Rattus norvegicus: one gene and its partner. The protein of the gene in region 1 interacts with the protein of each later gene in a pairwise test. Links are inferred from orthologs where the notes say so. Each region holds a gene or a part of one and is shown on either strand. Other genes may lie near its edges.

The links.
Region 2: the proteins of Tnni3 (region 1) and Tnnc2 interact in binary tests that used the Homo sapiens proteins (3 or more experiments, as listed by UniProt). The two-hybrid records come from large-scale screens. The link is inferred for Rattus norvegicus from reciprocal best matches to the Homo sapiens genes TNNI3 and TNNC2.

The regions. Positions count from the first base shown.
Region 1 is NC_086019.1:78,341,379-78,345,391, forward strand, and holds the start of Tnni3 (troponin I, cardiac muscle), read left to right. Parts: upstream 1-1,192; 5' UTR 1,193-1,296; coding exon 1,297-1,307; exon of another isoform or gene 1,308-1,412; coding exon of another isoform or gene 1,413-1,453; intron 1,454-1,567; coding exon 1,568-1,580; intron 1,581-1,749; coding exon 1,750-1,836; intron 1,837-1,923; exon of another isoform or gene 1,924-2,088; coding exon of another isoform or gene 2,089-2,142; intron 2,143-2,247; coding exon 2,248-2,289; intron 2,290-2,581; coding exon 2,582-2,713; intron 2,714-3,149; coding exon 3,150-3,239; intron 3,240-3,705; coding exon 3,706-3,882; intron 3,883-4,013. Other genes in the region: Dnaaf3 (dynein axonemal assembly factor 3), read left to right, coding at 1-322. UniProt on the Homo sapiens protein: Troponin I is the inhibitory subunit of troponin, the thin filament regulatory complex which confers calcium-sensitivity to striated muscle actomyosin ATPase activity.
Region 2 is NC_086021.1:173,932,537-173,936,566, forward strand, and holds Tnnc2 (troponin C, skeletal muscle), read right to left. Parts: upstream 2,804-4,030; 5' UTR 2,711-2,803; coding exon 2,708-2,710; intron 1,299-2,707; coding exon 1,247-1,298; intron 1,155-1,246; coding exon 1,011-1,154; intron 916-1,010; coding exon 801-915; intron 679-800; coding exon 542-678; intron 247-541; coding exon 215-246; 3' UTR 75-214; downstream 1-74. UniProt on the Homo sapiens protein: Troponin is the central regulatory protein of striated muscle contraction. Tn consists of three components: Tn-I which is the inhibitor of actomyosin ATPase, Tn-T which contains the binding site for tropomyosin and Tn-C.

The sequences.
Region 1 (4,013 bases):
GGAAATGAGCCCACCCCAGGCTGGCCAGTCCCCATCTCTAGAATTGATGAGCCCAACCCGGGCTGACCAGACCCCTTCTCTAGAAGCAATTAGCTTATCCCAGGCTGACCAGGCCACATCTCTAGAGGCGATGAGCCCACCCAGAGCTGACCAGATTCCACCTCTAGAGGCGATGAGCCCACTTCAGGCTGAGGTAGTCCTGCCTCTAGAAGCAATCAGTCCTCCCCAAGCAGACCTGGCCCCTCCTCCGGAAGTGATAAGTCCAGTCCAGGAAGCTTTGGCAATGTCCTCGGCGATTGCACCTCTAAAACATGTAACATGAACCGCGGGGACCAAGAATCCTACCTTTAACTGCTGAAGCAGGCTCCAGGACTGACACCAGCTCAGCCCACTGTTTTACTCTGCGTTCCTTCTCAACCCCAGTGATATAACTAGAATTTCAAATTCCTTTCCTTGAACTCTCAGTTCTAGTCTTTTTTGGGGTGTGTGTGTCTTAGATCATAATCTAAGATTTATCCTGACAAGAATCCCAGGCCAGAGGTACAACCCTGGGCTCCACATCCTCTTTTGCCTTGGGCCTTTCTTGACATGCTACTGTTGGAGGGACAAGGACATATCCTCCCTTGGATGCGGTTCAAATAAAGAGCGCAGGGTCACCTCTGTGTGTCCTGTCCTCTGTTGGTCTCCAGTGCCAAGAAGGGGGTGGGACAAGGGGGGATGGGCCCCGGATGGTGGGTTTCCAAGTGGACTTGGCTGAATTTCACATCAGTGTAGGCTGAGGACTTAGGGTCCTGCACATGAACCTTTAAACTAAACATGCTAAGGGCAGTGAAACTGACAGAAACATGGAGAGAAAAGTCACAGAAAGACTACATTTTAGTGAGGAACCTACATGTGAGGAAAGAAGGAAGGCCTGGATTTTTGGGTAATCTACACAGGAAACTGAAGTCTGGACTCTTGGATTTGAGAGAAGAGGGACCTTGCTACTGGGTTTTCCTGAGTCTAAAGGAGAAGGGAGCTGGGGCCCAGAGTCAAAAGGAGGAGGGGTGTAGATCCGGGCACCTTGGTTGGTCTAACTGGAGCTTTGCACACGGCTCCCCTCACACCCTGTTATCGCTCATCCTGGGAAGGGGAGGAGACAGCAGTATATTTAGTCTTTGTCCTCGCCCCTTATCTCAGTGTCCTCAGTGAGGCTTGAGCAGCACAGAGGGGACCCAACCCTCCAAGGTCACCAGGGACACCCTTCTAAGACCCTCCAGGAATCTGCAATCCCATTCTCTACCTCTGGAGATCAGCATGGCGGATGAGTATGTGAACCTTGGTAACCTTGAACTGGAGACCCCAAGGAACACGGTGCAGTCAGCCTTCAGGGTCCTTGTGAGGGTGCAACTAGGTTGAATTCTTGTCCTGAGATGGTAGGAGGCAAGGGTGGTTGGATTTCTGTAGAAATGAGGTAAGAATTCGGGAATCAGACTCCTGGGGTCTAAGGGAGTAGAAAAGGTAGCCCCAACCTTGTTCAGGAGGACTGCTGTCAATGATTCTATCTTCACGGTTTCTCTCCCTTCAGGAGCAGCGATGCGGTGAGCACTGTGACCTAAGAAGTGGGGTAGGGAACCCGTGGCCCAGAGAGGGTGCTGCAGGGAGAGGACTGGGGACCGATGGGCAGGGGAATCTGCAGCTAGAGGTGAGGAATCCGGGAAGGACTGGATGGGAGGGTTGGGGTAGTAATGTAGCCTGCTTCAATTTCAGGCTGGGGAACCCCAGCCGGCGCCTGCTCCTGTCCGACGTCGCTCCTCGGCCAACTACCGAGCCTATGCCACCGAGCCACATGCCAAGGTGGGGAGGGGTCCTAGAGGACGGTACTTCTGGGTTCAGAATCCTCTGGGACCCCAGGGGCGGCACCAAGGCCTTGGAAAGGGGTGGAGCCCGATGGGTGGGGCAGAATTTCAAAGAGGTACAGGTTGGGGTTGGTGACAGCTGCCTGTGGGAGAAACTCCTCTGCCTACAGCAAGGCATAGGCGTGAGCACGGTGATTAGCAGTGGATAGATAGGCAGTGTGTAGCTCTAGTCAGAGACAAAGATTGGTGGATGGGACCGAAGGACGTGGCTTCCAGTGGACTCAGCATTCTGGTTGAAGAATGGGTGAGCCGAATGGTTATGCACTTGAGTGGGTGGTGGTGCCTTGCAGCCCCGCCCAATGTCCACTTTGGGACCTCTCACTGACCTTTCTCCCTATCACCCTGGCAGAAAAAGTCTAAGATCTCCGCCTCCAGAAAACTTCAGTTGAAGGTGATGAAGAGCTCGGAGGGGTGGGCCTTGGTGGGCGGAGCTTTTGGGGAGTGGTTTCGTTTCGGAGTGCGTCAGTCCCCCTACACACACACACACACACACACACACACACACACACACACACACGTGCGCGTGCACAGAACACAGAAACGGGGAAGGTTTTTTTTTTTTAATAAAAGACACAAACTTGGATGTTTGGATATTCTGTCTCTCTGGAAGATAGCGAGATAGAGGGAAATTTGTTATTCTTATACTTTCGGGGACCCTGTTTTCGGCTCCCACCATTCCGCAGACTCTGATGCTGCAGATTGCGAAGCAGGAGATGGAGCGTGAGGCAGAGGAGCGACGTGGAGAGAAGGGCCGCGTTCTGAGCACGCGTTGCCAGCCCTTGGTGTTGGATGGGCTGGGCTTTGAAGAGCTTCAGGTATCAGTTTACCAAGCAGGAATTCCTGATGAGCCTGGGTCCCGATGTTTCTCATCTCGGCCCTGGCATCTCTTGGGTATCAGGAGCACAAGAACCATCCCCAGTTCTGCTCAGGATCTGCAATCCTTATGCCAAGCTATACATTCAGTCTTACAATTCAAAATCCAGTGTATTTTTCCTGCCTTTGTCTGCTAAGTCTCAGAATTCTTGGCTCCTGGCCATTTTTTTTTTTAAGTTCCCTAGAGTGCGGATTCCAGTGTCAGCTTCCTTTCACCCCCTCCTTCTTCAGACTCAGGAGTCCAGACCCCAGCACTCCTCTCTCAAACTCAGGGGTCCAGAGCCTAGGCCTCCTTCCTCAGACCGGGAGGTCTCCTTTCTCAGATCAGAGACCTGAGTCTCCAGCCTTCCTCTCAACGCCCATGCATTCCTTCACCAGGACCTATGCCGGCAGCTTCACGCTCGTGTGGACAAAGTGGATGAAGAGAGATACGACGTGGAAGCAAAAGTCACCAAGAACATCACTGAGGTGGGAAGCCTGGGGAAGTCTGAGCACCTTCACTGTAGACCGAGATGTCCAGGACTGTAGCTTCAGACTGAGGGCTATGTCTGTGTGTACTTTAGACAACTCTAAGCAGAAGGCAGGCAGTGGCAAAGGCAGCTGTTCCCACAGAGAGACAACACGTGCAAGGTAGAACCTGGGTGGCTTAAATCGGTCTGTAGAAACTGAGCACTGAGTTGGGCTCTGGGAATAATGATCTGCACATCATTGGGCCAGGTCGTGTTAGAGGCTTTGATTGATGGGACTCGGAGTATCAGGAAGAGCACAAAGTTGCAGATTGGAGCCTTTAATCTGGAGTCAGAGCTGGAAGAGAGGAGGAAGCTTAGATACTGAGAGCAAGATAGGGATAAGGGGGAATTGTTTGTTAGAAGCTATGGGTAGGGAGGAAGCAGAGGGAAGACGCGGTCTCCTTGCCCCATATGGTGGTTCCCAGATTGCAGATCTGACCCAGAAGATCTATGACCTGCGTGGCAAGTTTAAGCGGCCCACTCTCCGAAGAGTGAGAATCTCAGCAGATGCCATGATGCAGGCACTACTGGGGACCCGGGCCAAGGAATCCTTGGACCTGAGGGCCCACCTCAAGCAGGTGAAGAAGGAGGACATTGAGAAGGTGAGTGTGGGCTAGGGTAAGAAGGAAGATGCTTGGGAAGGTCTGAGTGGCCATAAGGTCCAGACAGAGAGCAGACACATTTGGGGTTCTAGTGAGAAGCTACGGATAAAGGGAACTCAAGAACTCAGAAG
Region 2 (4,030 bases), on another chromosome or scaffold:
ACGCTCTGTGCGTCAATCCAGCCAGGCAATCCCTAAGATCCTTTGCCCTCAATCAGTCCCCTGGTCAGTCAGGCCAGCTTTACATTGTCTGCTTTTATTCCTTCCAGCCACAGAGCCCAAAGGAGCAGCCTTTCCCTGGTAGGGCAAGGAGGCAAGGATGGAGTTGCCCACGCCCAGGGGACCTGCAGTCTGGATGAACACGAAGACCAGCTCCTTACTGAACGCCCTCCATCATCTTCAGAAACTCTGCGGAGAAAGAGTGGGATGATGTCAGGCGTACCGCTCAGGGCGCAGAGGGGTGCCTAGTCTTTAATGGGGACATTGCACTAAGCTGCGGAACATCCTAAGGGGCCCCCCTAGAGAGTGGGAGGAAACTTAGCCTAAGCCCAGCCCCACCCACAAAGCCAAGAGCCCCAGCCACAAAGCCAAGAGCCCCAGCCACAAAGCCAAGAGCCCCAGCCACAAAGCCAAGAGCCCCAGCCACAAAGCCAAGAGCCCCACCCACAAAACCAAGAGTCCCACCCACAAAGCTAGCCCTCACCGTCGAAGTCAATGCGGCCATCGTTGTTCTTATCACCATCCTTCATCAGGGATTCGATCTCCTCGTCTGTCACATGCTCCCCAGAAGCCCGGAAAATCTCAGCCAGCTCCTCGGCATCAATGTAACCGTCTGCGTTCCTTTGGGAGAGAGGAACAGAACAGGACACAGGGTCAGCCTCACCCTGGCCAGCCTGCCCCTTCGCTTCAGGCCCGCAGGCTCCATCTGCTCCCAAGTCCGGAATCCCAGAAGCCCCACGCACCTGTCAAAGATGCGGAAACACTCAGCCAGTTCCTCTTCGCTCTTCCCTTTCGCATCCTCTTTCATCTGGCGCACCATCATGACCAAGAACTCTTCAAAGTCGATGGTACCGCTGCCTGCAAGGAGCAAAGCGGGGGCGGGGCGGGAGGTGTTAGCCCAGTGTGTGCTGAGCCTTTCCTCCCCGTCCCTGCCTTGGGGGAGCCCAGCTCACCATCCTCGTCCACCTCCTCGATGATGGCGTCCAGTTCCTCTTTGGTGGGTGTCTGCCCTAGCATCCTCATCACGGTACCCAGCTCTTTAACGCTGATGTCCCCACCACCATCAGCATCAAACATGTCAAAGGCAGCCTTGAACTCTAGCGGGGATGAGACGGAAGAAGCGATGGGTGAGGCCAGTTGGATGGTCAACTTTACACCTAATCTCCCCCAACGGCCCACCCTCACTCACCAGCGATCATCTCCTCGCTGAGGTAGGACCTGGCCTCAGCCTGTTGGTCCGTCTATAGGAAACAGAGAGAATCAGAGCGTGGAAGGGCAGACTCTCACCCCAGCTTCAGCTTCCCCAGCCCTCTCTTATATTAGGAAGTGCCCCACCCCCCAGGTCCTCCAGAGCCACTCCAAAGCTAGCTGCACCTCCCAGGTACCCTTGGTGACCATCCCCAGTGCAAAGGGGACATTGGTTATACCCACAGTTTCCCATTTATCTTCGGAGAGCCACATCAAGAAACCCCCATCCCAGCAGTGACTTTTGGCAAGTCACCCTTCTTGTGACTTTGCTGGGATAATAGGACATCGGGGGTAAGAGAGGGCTTGAATGTGTTAGCACTATTCAAGTGTGATTTTCTGATGTCCCTGTCTTCTAATGCTGCCTGGGACTTGACTAGCTGGTCAATAAGTATTTGTCCTCAACTAAATAGCAGAATGCAAAGCCACAGAACATCTACCAAGCACTCGGACGCTGAGACCACAAGAAGAGATGGGCAGCTTTGTGTCAGAGGGTTCTCGGGGGCAAAACTTCTCACTAGGTCATCGGGGTAAACACCTCTCTCACTGTCAAATGTGATGGGGCCATGCGTTGGTGTGAAAATAAGACACCTCTGTTCTGTTACGACGTCCTGGTTTGGGTGTTTAGATAGTCTTGCTGTGTAGCTCGGGTTGGCCTGGAGCTCCACATGTAACCATGAAAGTAAGGTTTCTGTGAATTTTTTCCAGGCCACTCTGGGTCAGGGCTTTGGACTCGAGGTGGTGAGGAAGGGGTGAGTCCCAAGACATTCTTTAGCCAGCTGGCCCAGTTCCTCCTCCCTCCTCCGTCCCTTGGCCTGATCCAGGAGGATAGGCTATTTTTAGTTGGGCATTGTCAATGGCAGCTGGTCTCTGGAGTCCAATTACTCCTTCAAGTGAAGCGGGAGGGTACTCAGAAGAAAGTGGCAGCCCCAGATCAGGGCTCCTCTGTGGATGGTCAGGGTCTCTACCTCTACCCTGTCACCCAGCCCTACTAACCACCATCCTCTCCTCGGGATTCTTAGAGGAAACCTTCCTTCTCTGGTTGCCACAGGCTTGGCTGGGCCCATGGAACCTACTCTGTCTGCCTTGCTGGGAGACTTTTCTGCTTTCATGGTCTCCGTCTCTCCTAGGGAGCAGACAGGCTAAGACCCTTCCCACACAGCTCTGGGTACCCAATAACATTGTCCCAAGCCTCAAGGTGGCCAGGAAGTCATAGCCTTGAGGATCAACTCCTGGACTATCCTGACCCCCTCCCCCAGCCTTCCCAGGATGTCTCCACAGGACTTGGGTTCCAACAACCCTTATCTTCTACCTTCAGGCACCCACATTACTGCCCACAGAGCACACAGTTCTAGGACTGAAAGAGGCCTGTGGACAAAAGCGTGAAGACCCTTCTTGTCCTTACCATGGTTGCTGGTGACTGGGACTCCTCTGCTGTGGGTCCTCTCCTCCGCACTCCACCACCCAAAGGTGCCCCAGATCTCTCTAGCCTTCAGGATTTGTAGGGGCATCCTCTCTTCCCTCCTCCCTACTCCCCAGAACTGGATACCCTGACCAATCAGGTGCAGGGGGCAGCAAGCCCCTCCCCTCCCAGAGTCCTAGCCCATTACCTAATTTAGCCAGGGTCCTTTGCAGGGAAATTTAAGCTTGGAGCAGGTGGCAGTCTCTGACGTTCTCCTAGATTCTTAGGAGGGGGCCCCCGCCCTGCTCCACTGTCTTAGGGAGCTCCTCCCCCACCCCCAGCACACTTGTTCCAAAATGGGGGAAGGATGTTCAGAACAAGAGCACAGTAGAGTGGAAAGAGGCCAGTCTTGAGGTCCAAAATCCATTCAAGACTCTGTTCTCCCTCTGAGCCATGTGAGTGGGGGCGGGTGGCGAGGGCCCTCCAGGCACATCGTCCTCCAAGACAGAAATGGTAAGCGTGAGCCCAGATGACTAAGACACCTAAGCTTGCGCTGGGTGCCTAGGGTTGGCGTTTGGCCCAAGAAGGGGAAGTGATACGCAGTACTGAGGTAGCGACGTGAACTCCCACAACTTGTCCCCCCACTGGGCTGAGCGTCTTGATTCTGTGATCTCATCTACTCTTCATCCCGTGAAGAGGTAACTATTATTATTCCATCTGCCTAGAGCATAAGTCGTGCATCCACAGAGGAACTCTATTCCCCACTTCGGAGGCCAGATCTCATATATTGAACACTGGCCTCGAACACCTGATGTAGCTAACATTAATCTTGAGGTTCTTTTTTTTTTTTTTTTTAAGATTGTATATCTATTGTATGTATGTGCACTAGACTGTCACTGTCTTCAGACACACCAGAAAAGGACATTGGATTCCATTACAGACGGTTGTGAGCCACCATGTGGTTGCTGGGAGTTGAACTCAGGACCTTAGCGAGAGCAGTCAGTGCTCTTAACCTCTGAGCCGTCTCTCCAGCTCAACCTTGAGGTTCTAATCACCCCTACTTCCACCTCCAGAGTGCTGGGGCTTACAGGCATATACCAAGCCCATTTAAGTCCTTTGATTTATTTTGCAAAAGAGTATTCCCTGTCAACTGAGCTGCCCTTGAACTCCTGGGTTCAGGCGATCCTCTCACCTTAGTCTCCGGAATCACCGAATCACCGAGGCTATAGGCATGCTAGATTAGGGTGCTGGGTGGGAAGTCAAGCCTCGGCTATGTGCGTGCTGCAAAGTACTCTACCCACTGAGCTACACCCCCAGCCTTGGTGA